Linked DNA regions of Styela clava. The protein of the gene in region 2 interacts with the protein of the main gene of each other region in a pairwise test. Links are inferred from orthologs where the notes say so. Each region holds a gene or a part of one and is shown on either strand. Other genes may lie near its edges. The genes, in order: WW domain-binding protein 2-like and epsin-2-like.

What was found.
Region 1: the proteins of epsin-2-like (region 2) and WW domain-binding protein 2-like interact in binary tests that used the Homo sapiens proteins (3 or more experiments, as listed by UniProt). The link is inferred for Styela clava from reciprocal best matches to the Homo sapiens genes EPN2 and WBP2.

Annotation. Positions count from the first base shown.
Region 1 is NC_135251.1:30,812,562-30,816,494, forward strand, and holds the start of WW domain-binding protein 2-like, read right to left. Parts: upstream 2,442-3,933; 5' UTR 2,352-2,441; coding exon 2,016-2,351; intron 1-2,015. UniProt on the Homo sapiens protein: Acts as a transcriptional coactivator of estrogen and progesterone receptors (ESR1 and PGR) upon hormone activation. In presence of estrogen, binds to ESR1-responsive promoters. Synergizes with YAP1 to enhance PGR activity.
Region 2 is NC_135254.1:23,465,160-23,469,092, forward strand, and holds the start of epsin-2-like, read right to left. Parts: upstream 2,765-3,933; 5' UTR 2,632-2,764; coding exon 2,143-2,631; intron 930-2,142; coding exon 828-929; intron 1-827. UniProt on the Homo sapiens protein: Plays a role in the formation of clathrin-coated invaginations and endocytosis.

The DNA.
Region 1 (3,933 bases), on a different chromosome or scaffold from region 2:
TCGGCAACCACAAGGAATCAATAGAAAAGATTAAAACTCAAACGAAGAAGTGGCCTTAACGCAAATATGAAACCAAAAAACAAACAGTACCATCAAAACAACAACAACAATACAAACAAATAACGATGAAAAACAAACAAAGGAAACTACCCAAATAGATGAACCCCAACCCAACCACATCAGTTAGACCTGCTATTCTAAGATGATACGATAGCATCCATATCCAGTTATAGGAAACTCAATAATAGGCTAAATTTATATGATCTTTTATATTTACAGTTATATCTTGTATTGTTTGAAGAAGTTAGACCATGATCTAACGAAAGCTCACAAATATACTTACTATTTCGTTGAAAGAGATCATGTTATTTTTACTGTGCCACATACGGATCCGAAGTAGAAAGTAATCAAGGAGAAAGGACCTGCAGTTCAATACACAATATCCAAGTTCCCCTAGTACATTTATGTACTTGAGAATTTCTCTAAGGTTTCGTGAACGAGTCACATGAAAAAACAAGTCGGTAGGCGCCCGGGATCTCCGCTGATACTCAGCCCCGCGTCTGTATTATGCTATCGCGATGATCCAATTCGTTTTAGTCCCTGTAGCACTCTAGTGGTCACCAGTAACTTCGTTCGAATACAAATCTCTTTTATTTCCGAGACCATTTACGCATGCAATAACAATCACCGATATTGCCTGTTACCGATGGCGATATTTCCTGTTCATTTTGAACGCTGTGCGTCTGCTTTTTAGCGTTGCATGAGGAATAAAATGTTGCTAATTATTGAAACATGTTCACTAAAATTCCATCAATCAATCAATTTAATTCCAAAGGCTTCACCAGTTTATAGAGTATCGAGATGAATGGCGGCTTGTTAGAGAAAGCATTTTCTCTCGCGAGAGGTAGCAATCTCAGAATTCTAATTTTCGACTTAATTTACAAGAAAATTGCAACAGAATGTCAAAAAATTAGAAATTTTCTCACAATCGGATGTTTTGTGGTTGCTGCCGTGGAAGCGAAACAACAATCCAGTCTTTCAAGGAAACGCATAATACTAGGATGACACTCGACAGGTTAACTCACATAAGAAATTTCACCCAAATTGATCTAGCCGTTTAGAGGCTACATCTAAGCAGACAGACAGAACGATCGAGAATAAGGGTCTCCTATAGAGCGGAGCTCCAATATACAGCATTGGGACTTCAACTTGGGGCTGTATGATAACCTTATATGTATTGCATGGCTGTTACACATGACACGCACAGCTGATTTCTCTCTTCGAGGTCCACTTGATTGACCATTCTCAAATTTAAGAGTCAGTATTTTTTTCCTTCAAGTCAGGTTCATTTTTTTAACCATCATAAGGTTCTGCTTATTTCATACGCATAATACTAGGATGACACTCGACAGGTTAACTCACATAAGAAATTTCACCCAAATTGATCTAGTCGTTTAGAGGCTACATCTAAACAGACAGACAGAACGATTGAGAATAAGGGTCTCCTATAGAGCGGAGCTCCAATATACAGCATTGGGACTTCAAATTGGGGCTGTATGATAACCTTATATGTATTGCATGGCTGTTACACATGACACACACAGCTGATTTCTCTCTTCGAGGTTCACTTGATTGACCATTCTCAAATTTAAGAGTCAGTATTCTTTCCTTCAAGTCAGGTTCATTTTTTAACCATCATAAGGTTCTGCTTATTTCATTTGATCACTAACACTTACTTTTCCGGAAAGGAATACATGTTACAAATACAATGTTAGTTGGTGAGATACGATAGAAGGAAAAAAAATGTGTTTTTGGTCATTATACAGGATATGTATATTATAGATTATAGTTATGTTTCAATGCATCTAATACAGTAATATACATTCCAAGGCTCAATTAGGGAGCCCAAATATTATGTGATGGCATCAACCAGGAAATGAGTTTAAAAATTCAAGGTAAAATCAGCTAACTTTTAATTTCATTATTTGTACTTGAATAAAATAAATCAATATTACCTTGAATGTCATTTCAAATTCTGCGGAACCTTGCCATCCACCTCCTTCTTCAGCCATTATTTTTCCTTCCAAGTGGTTCGCGCCAAACACAGGTTGCTTGATCTCAAAATCCTTTATGAGTTTGAATGGCATGCTAAAATTTTGTAGCATGTCATTTGTTTTGCTGTTCACAAAAAATGCTCTGAAATTCGTAAGATAAAGCTGGCCGACTTTCGATCCCTTCAAGTGCTCAGATGAATATTTGACCTTCTTGAATTTCAGTTCAACATCTTTGTGTTGTTGCACAGTCAGCTCGCCTTGAAATAATTGGAGTCCTGCCGATCTATTGATAGACATGACTGCACAAGTTTTGCAAGGTCCAGGTGATGAAATATTACCAACTTATAGTTTCAGGGTTTAGAGTAAATCTAGAGAGGTAAAATCCTTTTAGTTTTTGTTATTTGCATTAACACAGTTGAGTAGTATCATGTGCATAAAATTGTAAAAAAATTCTCATGCGGCTTCAATTATAAATGCTCATTTAACTGCCTTTCAAATTGCAATGTTTCGATGTCTGACACTGTTCGAGGTTGGTGTGTTTGTTCCGGGAACTTCTTAAATAACGCCCAACATTGTATAGTTTTCGCTGTAGGTCAGTAGGTACCGTACATAACCATCCTATTACAGCATCATGCAAAGGGTTGCCAGATCCTACTGTCCTAGTGATCAAAAAGGGCCAAATTGAGACGAAAAAAAAGCCAGCAAAAGCCAACAATTTTACTAATTACAAAAGCACCTGATGTAGAGCATTTAGTGAGCCACACAAATGTCTTTTCTCATTCAGTCATTGAAAGTTGTATTTTCAGTTGCTAGCTATCATGGCGATTTCCGCTTCAGCGAGATGGAGGGTTGAAAAGGGGTTAATTGAATGGCAGCACCAGAACCTACATTTGACATTATACAGTCAAACTGATATCTATATGAAAGAGTTGGGAAAATAAAAAAAATAGAAGGAAATATCAAGCGGACAGCATCACTCAACAATTCAATATATATACACAGGGTGACGCTTCAGTTTGTGATATACCTTAAAACATTCTCACTGAACATTTTGAAAACCATCATTTTTATTTAAAAAATTATCTAACCATGTGCCCGCTTACAGGTCTGCAGGCGGACTACTGATGGCTAATTTTAGCGTATTTAATCACAATCGTTCGTGACACTAAATTCTGATTACTGCAACTAAACTAAAGCTCCTGGGAAGGCATAATGCAGGAATGACAATTAAGTCATACAACTATATTTGGGAACAGAACTGAACACTGACAAATAACTAAAAGCATGGCAATGTTTACAACCCCGCTTGAACATCTGTTTGAGCGGCTGCAGAAACTGCAACTATTTTTTGTTGGTTATGGTCATAAACAAGAAAATCGATGCTCTTCCAAATGTTAAATAGCTAAGCAATAGGCTATTGTTACACACTAAATATTGTATAATGTATTTCATATGATTTTTAATAATACACATTGAAGGAGACTGAAAAAAGTCAAGAAAAAAGCCAAACGTAAATTCTGACGCCAATCGTGTTTGAAAAAAGCCAAAAATGGCGAATTTGGTGTTAAAAAGCCACATAGCAACCCTGAATTCATGCAGTCATGGCTTGAGATATAACGTTATCTGTATACAGGTATATGAGGTAACGCCGACTGCGCCGAGGCTTTCTACCACAGCACCAACAGAGATATACCTAGCTGTGCGGTAATCAATACCTGCAATCAGGTGAAATTTCTACAACCATCTCGGGGTCGTGATAATAATATTTTCATTTATCACTTGTGATATACACCGATCCCTGCTGTCGATCTTTACACACAACAGCAATGGGCTGCTAGTGCTAGACAGTATCTGCCACTATGAAAACATTTTCTTTGTC
Region 2 (3,933 bases):
TCCTGGCTTGACAGTTAATATTCTTTCACTTCTCAGAAGTTCATGTGACATTGACATTTCTTCGAGAAAATATTTACAAAAGGAGAGTATAGAAATTTTTTTCAAAGTTTTGATATCCATTTATGACACATGACTGTTTTGGTCAGGTGGAAAAAAAACAAAAAAAAGGTTTAATTTTTTTCGATTAGGTAAAAAATTTGAGAAAAACTGTGAATAAAGTTAAAGCTTTTAATCAAAACACAATAAATAGCCAGCCAGTTTCCTTTTCACAACCTCAAGAGAGTCAGAACTTCATATTTTGTCATAAGCATAACTAAGAGAATCACAACTCCATCAGAGCTTAACAAACTTTTTTAGTATAAATATTATCACTGCACGCTAATAAATTTCAAATTTTGCCATAGCATAGCACACTAATGATCACAATAGTGACAATACTAATCAATTTAACCTGGAATAGCCAAAACACACTATTTAACTAGGCATCTCCAATAATATTGTTTTATGCAAAATTGAACTAATCTTTCTCTGCAACAGTCTTGAATAAATGTGACATCACAATGACTCTTAAATATTATGGTCCTTATCATGGTGCAGGAGGATTAGATAAAATGAATCGAAAAAAATTAAGAAGAGGATAGTTTAAATAGAAAACAATCACAATTAGCAAAAAAACAACAAATTTATATTCCTCCTACACCTTTCATGACACATGTTAGGTCTCTTTCATGGGCTACTAGTATGTCACAGTTATGGATGTCTGGTATGCATTTTTCTGCACCACATCAATTTTTTTCTTTCATCAATTCTTACAATCCTATTCATACCTGCTCAAGTTCTGTTGACACTGGTGAAGATGTGAGAGCTGTGTGTCTGGTCTCCGGTGTACGATGAGTTTGCGGTGTTGAACTTCCATGCCCATATGAAATCTGAAGTTTTGAATAAAAGATTATATATTGCTGTATTTTAAACATTTCAACTCTAAAGTGATCTTCGTTATTGACTAAACCTAGGGAAATCCACGGGCAAAAAAGAATCTGCAATCTTGAATAAATAGTAGGGAAATAATGAGCCAATGTAGGTCACATTTCATGAAAAACTGAAAAATATCAAAACTAATCAATAAGAAGCGATAGTTCAAATACAAAACCAAGACTGAAAATACCAATTCGTATCTTTTTAAAATGAAGCCAAAGAAAAATATGAATATTATGGGTTATGGCTTGGAATCTGAATAAAATATTCCTCTCAGATTCCAGATGTGATTTGAGAATAAACCACGATATTTGGTTAGTTGACTAATACTTTTTGTTAACAAACAAATTTGAATATGGTAGTTGTATTTTGTTTTTAAATAAAGTAATACAGATTCTCCTAATTCTTGGAACGAGCACTGTTGTAATTAGGGGGTATAGATAAGGTTAGTTCAAATAAAGTACAATTAGAAAAAAATTGGTTCCCATCAAATTTCTTTGGTAAACATTTTTCACAAACTTTTTTAAAATATAATTTACCGTTAATAAAAAATTTTAAAACCCCAATCAAAAAATATTCCAAATCACACATGATTCAGAACCAACTGTCATTACTTGCACATTGATTTTTTGATTGATTTTCATTAATAAAACTAATTTCAGCGTCATAGTGAAAGTGCAAATAACAGGATTCAAGATTCATATTTCATATAATAAATCCAAAAACTTTTGATTTAATTTCTCCCATCATCAATTTTCTAGACTGGGTACTGTGTCATGTCTTTATTTTATCAGCATATAACAAAATGTATGAAATAATATAGTAGTCGAATATTAATCTTACTGGCAGGTTTTGTGAATAACATAAATAAAATGCAATTTGATTCAAACATGCTATTCAATATTAGTTTAAATTTATTATTATTATTATAAATTTTTACACTGAATTTCAGGTTGCCTTGAAAATTAAATAATCAAAATTACATTAGAGCGATGCCTTTTAATAATCAGCATTAATAATTTTTAAATAGTGAATAAAAAATCTGAAGATGAGAATTTTAAAAGATGTCAAATGATAGGTTTTAAGGGTACAAACGAAATAGAAACTTCATGCAGGAAATCAGTTTGTGAACATCCACAACAGGGATATGAGAGCGTAAAATCATACCTGACGATCACTTCCTATACCAGTAGTGGCCTGAGCAAATCTCTCTTTTGCTTTTATTGCTCTTGCTCTTTCAGTTTTCAAACGATCTTCATCTTTGAGAAGAAGGACTAGTTGTTTCGATTTCTCTCTGACATTTAAACCTTGATCTTTCCCATCTCGATCAAGAAACTGGAAATCTTTAAGTGTTTGTATAGCAAAAATATTCTCCTTGCACTGCTGAGCAACTCTTTCTGAACCAGTTTTTATAAGATAATCCAACAGCGTAAGTGCTTTATAAACATGCCGCCAATTTTTCCCATGATCGTTTACTCTTTTCCAAATCATAGACATTATTTCCGAAAATGCGATAACATTATATGTCATATCTGCTATTTCACTCATCAGTGAACTTGAAGGACCCCAGGCATCATTTGATGTGGCTTCACGAACTTTAACCTCAGCCTCTGTGTAGTTACGAACAACATTCATGAAGTTTCGGCGAACAGACATTTTTCCTTTCCTATATATATATACGGAGATACGCTTGTGTGTTAGAATTCACCAGAAGAAAATGATTACAGATTTAAGTTACACTAATACTATAATATGACAGCCAGGAATCATTTCTAAAAATTTAGCTTATACAGTTAGAGGTAAAATCAAAAATGAAACTTTAAATAATAAGGGGATAACAGTCATGAAGAAATAAGACCTACATTTGTCCTGATGAACCTAAACAAAATATCTACTCAGACATTCATTAAATTTCTAGATTTCTCAAAAATAGCCGAGAATGGTTGAGATGGATTTCAAAAAATTTGTTTATTTTGTTTAAAAAAGAGAAACTGAATCTTATCTTCTTATTATACCCTGATAACAGTATAATCTAAATCTTAAATGAAGTTTATTGCTTAGGACAGGGGTGGGCAACCCCTGGCACGCGAGCCCATTTATTCGGCACGTGAGCGAGGCCTCAGAAACAAGATCATTCTCTTTCAGATAAAAAGTTTTGAGGCTCTGATTTATCTGATGAAACTAGGTGTTTGTTTATTCATTATCGTTTGTTAACAATCTGTTATTCATTTAAAATTTTAAACTCTTTTTGACTTTTCATAACATATGGCTACAAAGAAATATATTATGACGAATTGCTCTCAACGAATTGTGACGAGACACAGCATTTATTGGGGGTTCATTGTCACGTAATATATAGTTCGTCTGTGCCACCATTTTTCTTCATTTCTGATTGATTTATGAAGTTGTACAGCTTATGTTGTTTAGAGTTACTTGCTAACTTACTGAAATAAATTGAGTTCGAAAGAAATAAAAGCAATTATAGAAGGGAAAACAAGAGAGAAGTGCAGAAAACGAACTATCGCGTGATTGGGAAGAATTTTTCGTGTCTTAAAAACATTGCAACTGCATGTTTTTATCTACATATGCTTGTGACTTTCTGTTCTCAGTTATGAACTTTAGCTCATAATAGTCTCATAATACAGTAATAGGAGTAGCCTGAAAGATGAAACCAGTAGTTCGTAACTTTCTTTCAATGTAGCCTAAATCTCTATCAACGGTAATGCAGCAGCAGAAGTCTCACTTATATAGAATAAGAAAAGTAATCAAATCTATTTGTCGGGCTGATATTTTCCCGAATAGTGAATCTGTCTGTAGCTTACATGTTTAGAAGGTTTATTATTGCAGCATTGTGTATTTTTGCTTTAAATGTAACAAAGCATTGTTTTAAATTTTGGTCGGCACGCGGAAGAATTTTTGTCGTTAAATTTAGCCGATTTGGGCACGCGAGCTGAAAAA